Oryctolagus cuniculus: one gene and its partner. The protein of the gene in region 1 purifies or fractionates together with the protein of each later gene. This does not show direct contact. Links are inferred from orthologs where the notes say so. Each region holds a gene or a part of one and is shown on either strand. Other genes may lie near its edges.

Evidence for each region. Proteins that work in one complex are often made in the same cells at the same time.
Region 2: the proteins of EPC2 (region 1) and MBTD1 purify together in Homo sapiens (affinity purification with mass spectrometry; 3 studies listed by BioGRID and IntAct, with this or other methods). This does not show direct contact. The link is inferred for Oryctolagus cuniculus from reciprocal best matches to the Homo sapiens genes EPC2 and MBTD1.

The regions. Positions count from the first base shown.
Region 1 is NC_091434.1:93,573,961-93,578,106, forward strand, and holds the start of EPC2 (enhancer of polycomb homolog 2), read right to left. Parts: upstream 2,805-4,146; coding exon 2,652-2,804; intron 1-2,651. UniProt on the Homo sapiens protein: May play a role in transcription or DNA repair.
Region 2 is NC_091448.1:27,053,659-27,057,761, forward strand, and holds the start of MBTD1 (MBT domain-containing protein 1), read right to left. Parts: upstream 2,803-4,103; 5' UTR 2,473-2,802; exon of another isoform or gene 2,154-2,472; intron 1,612-2,153; 5' UTR 1,549-1,611; intron 1-1,548. Other genes in the region: UTP18 (U3 small nucleolar RNA-associated protein 18 homolog), read left to right, coding at 2,946-3,287. UniProt on the Homo sapiens protein: Chromatin reader component of the NuA4 histone acetyltransferase complex, a multiprotein complex involved in transcriptional activation of select genes principally by acetylation of nucleosomal histones H4 and H2A.

The DNA of each region.
Region 1 (4,146 bases):
AGAAAGAATAGGACCGAGAAAAGTCCTCAGTATCAACTCAGGTTCTATCCAAATCTGGATTTCTTCTTCCTTAAAACTGAGCAGTTAAAGCAGACTTCTAAAAAGAATACAAGCACTAATGCTCTGGATTGAAAACCAAGTTTTATTGAAAAAAGTTAATGACCAAACTGTGACAGGGCTTGTTAAGTGCTTATTTTTAAAAGAACATTTTAAAAATCTGCAAGTTTTCTCCTAAATTAAAATAATAAAACATATGTGACAAGCTTAAGACCAAGTAGGAGCTGACTGCAAAAAGTAATGTACCTTCCAGGGATTAACTGTTCATTCTAGAACAGGTTTTCTGACTCAGGTTCTAAAATAATAGGATCCAAGTAATTTTGTACCCTAGTAGTTCTTTTTTTTTTTTTTTAAGATTTATTTATTTGAAAGGTAGAGTTACAGAGAGGCAGAAGCAAAGAGGGGAGAGAGGGAGAGGGGGAGGCAGAGAAGAGGGGGAGGGGGAGAGAGGGAGGGAGACAGAGAGACAGAGGCAGCTCTTCCATCTGCTGGTTCACTTCCCTGACAGCCACAACAGGAGACTCAGACCCGAAACGAGGAACCAGAAGCTTCTTCCGGGCTCCCACACGGGTGCAGGGCATCCTCCACTGCTTTCCCAGGCCATAGCAGAGAGCTGGCTTTACCCGCTACACCACAGCGCTGGCCCCACTACTGGTTCTTTTAAGCCTGAAAACCAACAAAAACTTCCAAATTTTGTTTCTGTTTTTTAAAGACTTATTTATTTATTTGAAAGAGTTACACAGAGAGAGGAGAGGCAGAGAGAGAGAGAGAGAGAGAGAGAGAGAGAGAGAGGAGGAGAGAATAGAGAGGAGAGAGAGGTCTTCCATCCACTGGTTCACTCCCCCACTGGCCGCAACTGCCGCAGCAGCGCGGATCAGAAGAAGCCAGAAGCCAGGAGCTTCTTCCGGGTCTCCTGTGTGGGTGCAGGGGCCCAAGCACTTGGGCCATCCTCCACTGCTTTCCCAGGCCACAGCAGAGAGCTAGATGGGAAGAGGAGCAGCCGGGACTAGAACCGGCGCCCATATGGGATGCTGGCGCTTTAGGCCAGGGCGTTAACCCGTTGTGCCACAGCGCCGGCCCCAGTTTTTTTAAAGTTCATCAATTAATTCTAATACGTATTATCCTCTTATTTCAATTATCTTTCCCATGAAAAACTGAGCTTAGTTAGGACCAAATTTTATTTTAAAAAAACAAAATTCTCTCATTCAGCTCTAAACCTTAGGCTTAAATTTTGGGCTTTTATCCTATTTACTTTTTAATTTTAAAAACTGATCGTGCATCCTGATGTCACAGCTATATTCATTTTCTGCTGAAAATGTAAGACTTCCAGGTGATCAAACACCAAGGAGAAATGTGATTAAAATCACAGAGGAAAGTAGTAATAGCAGGGTAACGTAATGAGGTCAGAACTCAAGCAGCCAATCAAAGGCATAAAAGCATTTCCTGCAATCTTAACAGTCAAAAGAGAAAACCAATCACGGAAACCTAGAGCTTTCTTTTGACAGTCACAGAGGCAAGAGAACCAATCCACACAGACCCGAGGTTGACAATAAGGCGGGACCGTGGGTTCATTGAAGAAATTCTTGAAGGTGCAGTTACTATGAACTTCGCATGCAAGGAACACCACTCCAGAGTCATAAACACTGTCAACCCAGAGCAAAATTCAACCTTATGCAAAATTTAACCCAGAGGTGGGGGAAACAGCTTTTATGCTACAAGGCATATAATCAAAAACACAGCTGTCAACTTATATGCAGTAAATCCTCTACTTCCAAAAGGACCACCCTCCTCCAACCAAGGCCATGTCGCGGGGTCACAGCGCCGGGACAGCGCCGCGCCGGCGGCTCGTTTCGAGCATCCCCGGTTCCTCTCGAACGCGGCGCAGTGAGCGGAGGCCGCACCGGCGACGCCGGCAGAGCCCGCCCGCCCCGCGCCCCGCGCCCCGCACCCCGCGTCCGGCTCCAGCTGGCTAACCCGGCGTCCCGCTCGGGAGTCGAGGCCTCGGCCCTTTCCCCTCCGCAGGGCCGCACTCGCTGCAGCAGCCCTGGTAGGGGCAGCGACATTCCCTTCCTAGGAGGGGGAAGATGTTTGTTTTGAAAGCGCTTTACTTTCCGTAAGTCATTTCAAACAGCACTCAATGCTAAACCAAACTTAAAACTAGAAGGAACTATACACAGACACGCACACGCATAATCTGTACCAGCCAAAGACACCCTCGCTATTAACTAACCCCGTGCCAGCGGACACTTTTTTTTTTTTTTTTTTTTGAAAGGTAAACAGAGGCCGTACGCCAAGTGCGCCCAGCGCAGCCCCTGCGCCATTCCCGGCCGCCGCTTACGGCAAGGCCCCCTTACGGCAGCGTAAGCGGCGCTGCGAGCTAATCACAACACTGGGACGCAACAACATGGCGGCCGCGGGCGGGCGCTGCGCCGGCCGAGAGGGTTTACGCTACTCCGCCAGCGTAGGGTCCCATGCGTTGGAGCGACAGCGGCGCCCTCCAGCGAGCGTAAAGCGCTCTGTGAATGGCGAGGCCCGACTGACAAAGGGGAGGGGGGAGGAGGGAGAGGGGGGGTAATAAACACTCGAGTCCCTACCGATTCCTCCTCCTTCTCCATCCCGGTGGGCATCTGGGGCACGGCCCGGTTGATGGAGACGCAGTCGTTGAGATCAGGCATGTCCTTGCCGCGGTAGATAGGCAGCGGTTTGGCGGCGTCCAGCGCCCGCGCTCGGAAGGAGAGTTTACTCATTGTCTCCCCGCCTTACAGGAACAGCCCGGGCGGCGGCGGCGGGGCGGGCGGGGAGGGGGGGAGGACTCCCGCCGCCTCCTCCACCTCCTTCCTCAGTGCAGCGCGGCCGGCCCGCTCCTCCTCCTCCTCCTCACTGCCCCCGGCCACAGCATGGGCGCCCACCCCGCCCGAAAACAGCCCCCCGCCGCCCGCGGCCGCTTCCACACACTAGATCCGCCGCTCGCCCGCCCGATCCGCTCCCTGCGCCATGGCCAACATGGCGGACATTACCACAGCGGCGGCGAGCGATCCCGGCAGCCCGCGCGAGAGCGCGCCCCCGCCGCGGGGACGCGCCTCGCCCTCTCCCTCCCTCCCTCCCTCCTTCCTCTCCCTTCCCCTCCCTCGCCTGCCCACCCACTCTCTCCGCCGCGCCGCCGGCCCACGGGAACGTGCTCGGCCTCGGGCCGCTCCAGGGAGAGGGGGCGGCAAGCGGCGGCGGCGGCAGCGCCTTCGGCTCACTGGCCGGCGCTCCCGCGGTGTGGCAGGTGCCAGGTGCGCGAGTTCACCCGCGCCCCAAAGCGTGTGCCTCTGCCTTCCGCGGCGGCGTCAGCGGGCTCGCTGAGTGCCCCTGAGGAAGGCGCCGGGCAAAAGGCGGCCGCGCCCAGCAGCGCCCGTGTGCAGAACTCTGTGAGCGGGAATAGATGTCGACCAGGGCCCCAGCAGCCACCGCCGGAGCCTATGCTTAGCGCTCCGGGCATCTCTGGGAGGTGCGAAAGGTCGGCGGTCCCCTCGGCCCGCTCTGAGGGGCGCAGCTCTGCACCGTCTCGCCGGCTCTGAGGGTGCTTAGGCGCCCCAGCCCCTGTTCTCCGCATCCGCCCTCCAGTACCTGTCCGGAAGAGCTCTCCAAGGTATGGCATCCTCTCTCGTCCTCGCCTGCTCGGGCAGGATGCTCATGGCAGCCGTGAGGGCGCTGGATGGAGGCTTGCCGAATGCAACAAGTGAACTTGAACCTGTCCCTCAAACTTGAGTTATTTAGTGGATGATAGATATTTCTCCGATTTCAAAAATAGCAGGGGTCGTCAAAGTTCAACTTAGGACGTTTGACCAAGGCAGCACACGTTTCCGAAGCGGCAGATGTGTGTGTGTGTTCCGCTGTGTTGCGAAGAAGTCAAAGTTCTTCCCTCATGATGCTTTCACGCTGGGGCAGATGGAAAGAGGAGTAGCAGTAAGAGACTTCATTAACTGAAGAAAAGCGCAGGGAAAGGAGGGAAAGGCATCCACAAAAAGTGCAAATTATTGAAAACTGCCCGGAGTTGACACACCAGTGCATGATTAATTACATCTACAGGCAATAATTGCTGTG
Region 2 (4,103 bases), on another chromosome or scaffold:
TCTTTAAAAATAAAACCAGTTGTTCCTGTCTAGTATGTTCAGAATGCAAATATCTCCAAAGCCAGTCAACTTAACTCATGACACTTCATGTTTAAAGCAAGCAGGAAAACAACTTGGAACTGTATTAATTAAAACTTGAAAGACACAATTATGTAGCTCTAGTAATTTTGTTTGTGACGTAGTACTCAATTCCACACTACATTCCATTTTCTAGCTTCAGAGAAAACGCTATACCAAAGTTTACATTAGGATTAAAACTCGGATGGTTGAAAAACATGTCCCAACATAGGACACTCTGAATACTTACTCAAAAACAGATTTTTGCCATAATATGCAACGTATACACAGGCCTTGACTACAGAGTTCTATACAAATAGAAGCTACCTGTTATACAGAGGAGATGGTACAAAAAGAGACAGCTGTTTTCTTTTTAAAGACTTTTGAGTGTTGAGGTAAACAAATGAGAAATAACACCTTTAGCAACCAAAAGCAAAGCAACAGTCTACATATCTTGAGAGGGAGGGGAAAAATTGTGGTCTCTCAGACCTTTTAAACAGGCTATCAGGAACTTAGAGTAAAATGTATTCACTTGCTTTTAGACATGACTTCGACATAATATGTATTAATTCTTACTTCACCATATTAGGAAAGGGAAAACATATGTACCACCACCCCCTTCTTATGCCATCTAAACTACTGGAGGCAGCTAGCTCACAAGGAAAGAGAGCTTTAGACAATCACTGAGTGACAACAGCTGAAGCTGAACTGCCTTAACTACCCAGTGATAAATACTGGGGTGTACTCATGCGAGCAGCATTAAAATACTGCAAATTCTAAGGAAATACTAAGGTGTTGCATAAGCTGCAAGTCTCTCTATGATGGAGTTGCTGGAAGAGGGGCTCCTGGGTGGGAGACCAGCTCTGATAAGTTAAACAAGCGAGAACGCTGGCGGAGGGATGCTGTTCTGCTCAGCTCCACCGGCTGTTTCTTTCTAACGGCTCAGTAGCATCACCACAAGGCAACGCCAGGCTTCCTTAGGGAAAGCGGTTTAGGTAGCAAGCAAACACACTTCATGGTAGGGCTGACTATACCGATGACGCTCAAATGTCCAACTTCAAAAAGATGCACTGACTAGGGAGAGAAAACGGCCTGGAAACCCTCAGACTGTCATTCCCTGGTTTCCTGTGTGTGTGTGTGTGTGTGTGTGTGTAACAAAAAAGCACAACACCAGTTTCTTCAGACGTCTAAGCCAGCACGCTTGACACCGACCCGGCAAAGTTTTCAGCTGGCCCTCGCTCGCCCTCACATTCTCTTTCCTCCACTTCCCTGCCTGCTGTTCTTTCCTGGTACACAAAATATAGGCCAATGAGCAGTGGGTGGGTGAGGAGGATGTGAGAGAAAAATTTGAGAAGTTGGAAAAAAAAAAAAAAAAAAGAGCAACTTCACCAGGACGCGAATGACAGCGGAGGATCTCTAAGGACAGGCACACAGCAATGCGAACCACTGAAACACGGAAGGGGCTTTCCTGCCCGAGGCCAGACTACCTACCACTTGTCAGAGAGGCTGCACGGGGGACGGCGGCCGTGGTGACCTCTAACGTCTCCTCCGACTCTGAAACGTGAGGATTCTCAGTTCACACAGGAGAACGCCGAGCGCACCCAAGCCCACCGCCTCGGGACCCTTCTAAGGGAGCGGCCCCAAACACCACTCCCACCCCGCCCTCCCACACGTGCCCACCCCGCCCCCTTGCAACATTTCCACCTCCACGTGCAAAATGCCTCGCGGCACCTCCCCCGGCAAAGCCCCCAAACCCCGCGCCTGCGACCCCCTGGGAGGTGAGGACTCGGCTCGCCCACCCCGGGCGGCTCAAAAAGGAAAAAGTCTCAGACCCAGCCTTCCCCCCGACCCCCAACCCCCAGCCGCAGCGACACGGGGACGGGGGCGTAGAGAAAAAACTTTCTTTTCAAAATTTCCTTCCCGACTGGATGAGCCGGAGAGAACCTCGACGCGTCCCGGGCTGAGGCAGTGGGGGAGGGGAGCCCCTGAGACGTTTAACGGCCGGTAGGGGGAGGGGGCTCCGCGGGGTGAGGGGGCGTGGGGCGGAGGAGCGGGCCTGGGAGCGGGGTCAGGGAGCTGGAGGCGTGCCCCCCCACCTGGCACACAAAGCGGCTGCCGCGCTCGGCTCTCACCAGATCCTTTGTGTTTTCCATCAGGGCCTCATGGGTAGGGGTTGTCCGTGCTCCCCGAGCCCGCGGCGCCCCCTCCCCGAGCTGGGGGCAGGTGCCTCTCCCCCGGACTGCGGCGACTACAGGGGTTCCCGGCTGGGCCCAGACCGGTGGCGGCTGCAGCAGCCCCCGGATTTCCCCCCTTTAACTCGGGTGGCCCCAGGATATCAACAACATTAGCATAGCCCTCCCTCCCAGCGCGCCTGCGCCGTGACCCGCGCCCCGATTGGCCCACTTCCCCACATACCCTCCTCTCGCTCTTCCAGCGTGGGACCCTCGGCAGGCTCCGTACTCTACGGACCGTACCAAGACCGAGGGTGGGAAAAGTAACTGAGGCTGGCGTTCTGTCGAGTGGCTAGAAAGTCTGGAGGAAAAGGAGGCGTCTCATTCAGTCATCCCAGCTGGTGCTCCTGTTCCCTTAAACGTCTTTCGATATGCTCCAGCTGCGAGGTTGTGTTGGGGAAAATTTTCCACTCCAGTCATGCCGCTTACCCCTACACCCGGAAGATTGCTTCTCCCAAAGGAACTCCCACTCGGGGCGGGGCAGGCGAGGAGGAACAGAGTTACGTAGTGTGGGGGCGGGGAGGGTTGGTCACGTGGCAAGAGGCTGCGCAGGCTCCTTCCGGCCCCCGGGGCTGCGGCGGCCGCGGGAGGTGAGGCGCCTGGGCGCATGCGCTTGAGGTTCCACGTGAGCGCCTGCGTTTCTTCTCAAACTCAACGATGCCGCCGGAACGGAGGAGCCGAACGAAACCGGGCCGGAGAACCGGAGCGAAGCCGGATCGGAAGACTCGAATGAAGCCAGAACGGAGAGCCATTGTGGCGACGGGCGGGCCGCCCCGAAAGTCTGCCCTTTCATCCCAGCAGAAAGCGCCGGCCCGGCCGAGCGCGGCGGCCGCGGCGATGGCAGTCGCGGCGGCGGAGGAAGAGAGACTGCTCCGGCAGCGCAACCGCCTGACGCTGGAGGACGACAAGCCGGACGCGGAGCGGTGTCTGGAGGAGCTGGTCTTCGGCGACGTGGAGGACGACGAGGACGCGCTGCTGCGGCGCCTGCGGGGCCCGCCGGTGAGGGAGGCCGCGGCGCGCGGGCTGGGCGCGCTCGGGCGGGGCGCGCGGTGGGCGGCGAGGCTGCGGGGGCGGAGCCTCGGCGACCTGCGGCGGCGGCGGGCAGCGCTCAGGTGGGAGGGAGCCCGGGGACGCGGGCCCCGGGGGCCGCCGCGGAGCCTCCGCCGCCCCCCGGCGCGGGCCTGCGAGCCTCGGGAGGGCGGGGACCGTGCCTTTCTCCGCCCCCGGAGGAGCCGCTGCGCCGGGTATCCAGCAGGCGCTCAACACGCATTTGTTTCGCTAACTGTAGTCGCGGGCTTCCCTAGCGGCTCGGCTGCGCTCGCCCGCGCCGGAGCTGAGCCCAGCACCCCCGATTCCTGGCGGTGATGCAGGACTTGACGGGATCGCTTGGTGGGCGCGGGTCTGGGAGTCCGCGTCCTGAGCGCTCCCACGTGGGCCTGACGCACAGCAGCTTTGGAGAATGATCGCTTGTGTTCGCCCATTCAGCAAACTCGAGTATTTGCAAATACTGCCAGTGGCACAGCCTGCGTCATTAGGACCGTTAGGTTCTTTATCACTGTAAATTATATTCCTTTTTTTTTTCCTGCCCATATAGGGAGTAAAATTTTAGGCATGCTGTAGATGGACATTGGGGGGAGACACAGCAGTGGGCAGCAGAGGCAGAAGGCACCTAAATTTAAAGTACATCGGTGACAGGTGTGAGGAGAGGAGAACAGAATACCGTGGGGGGCGGGGGAGTTGGTGTGGGTGGGAAGGTTATGGAGTTTCAGGTCAGGTCGCGGGTCAGGGCCTCCCTAAATGGCTCAATGAGGGCTT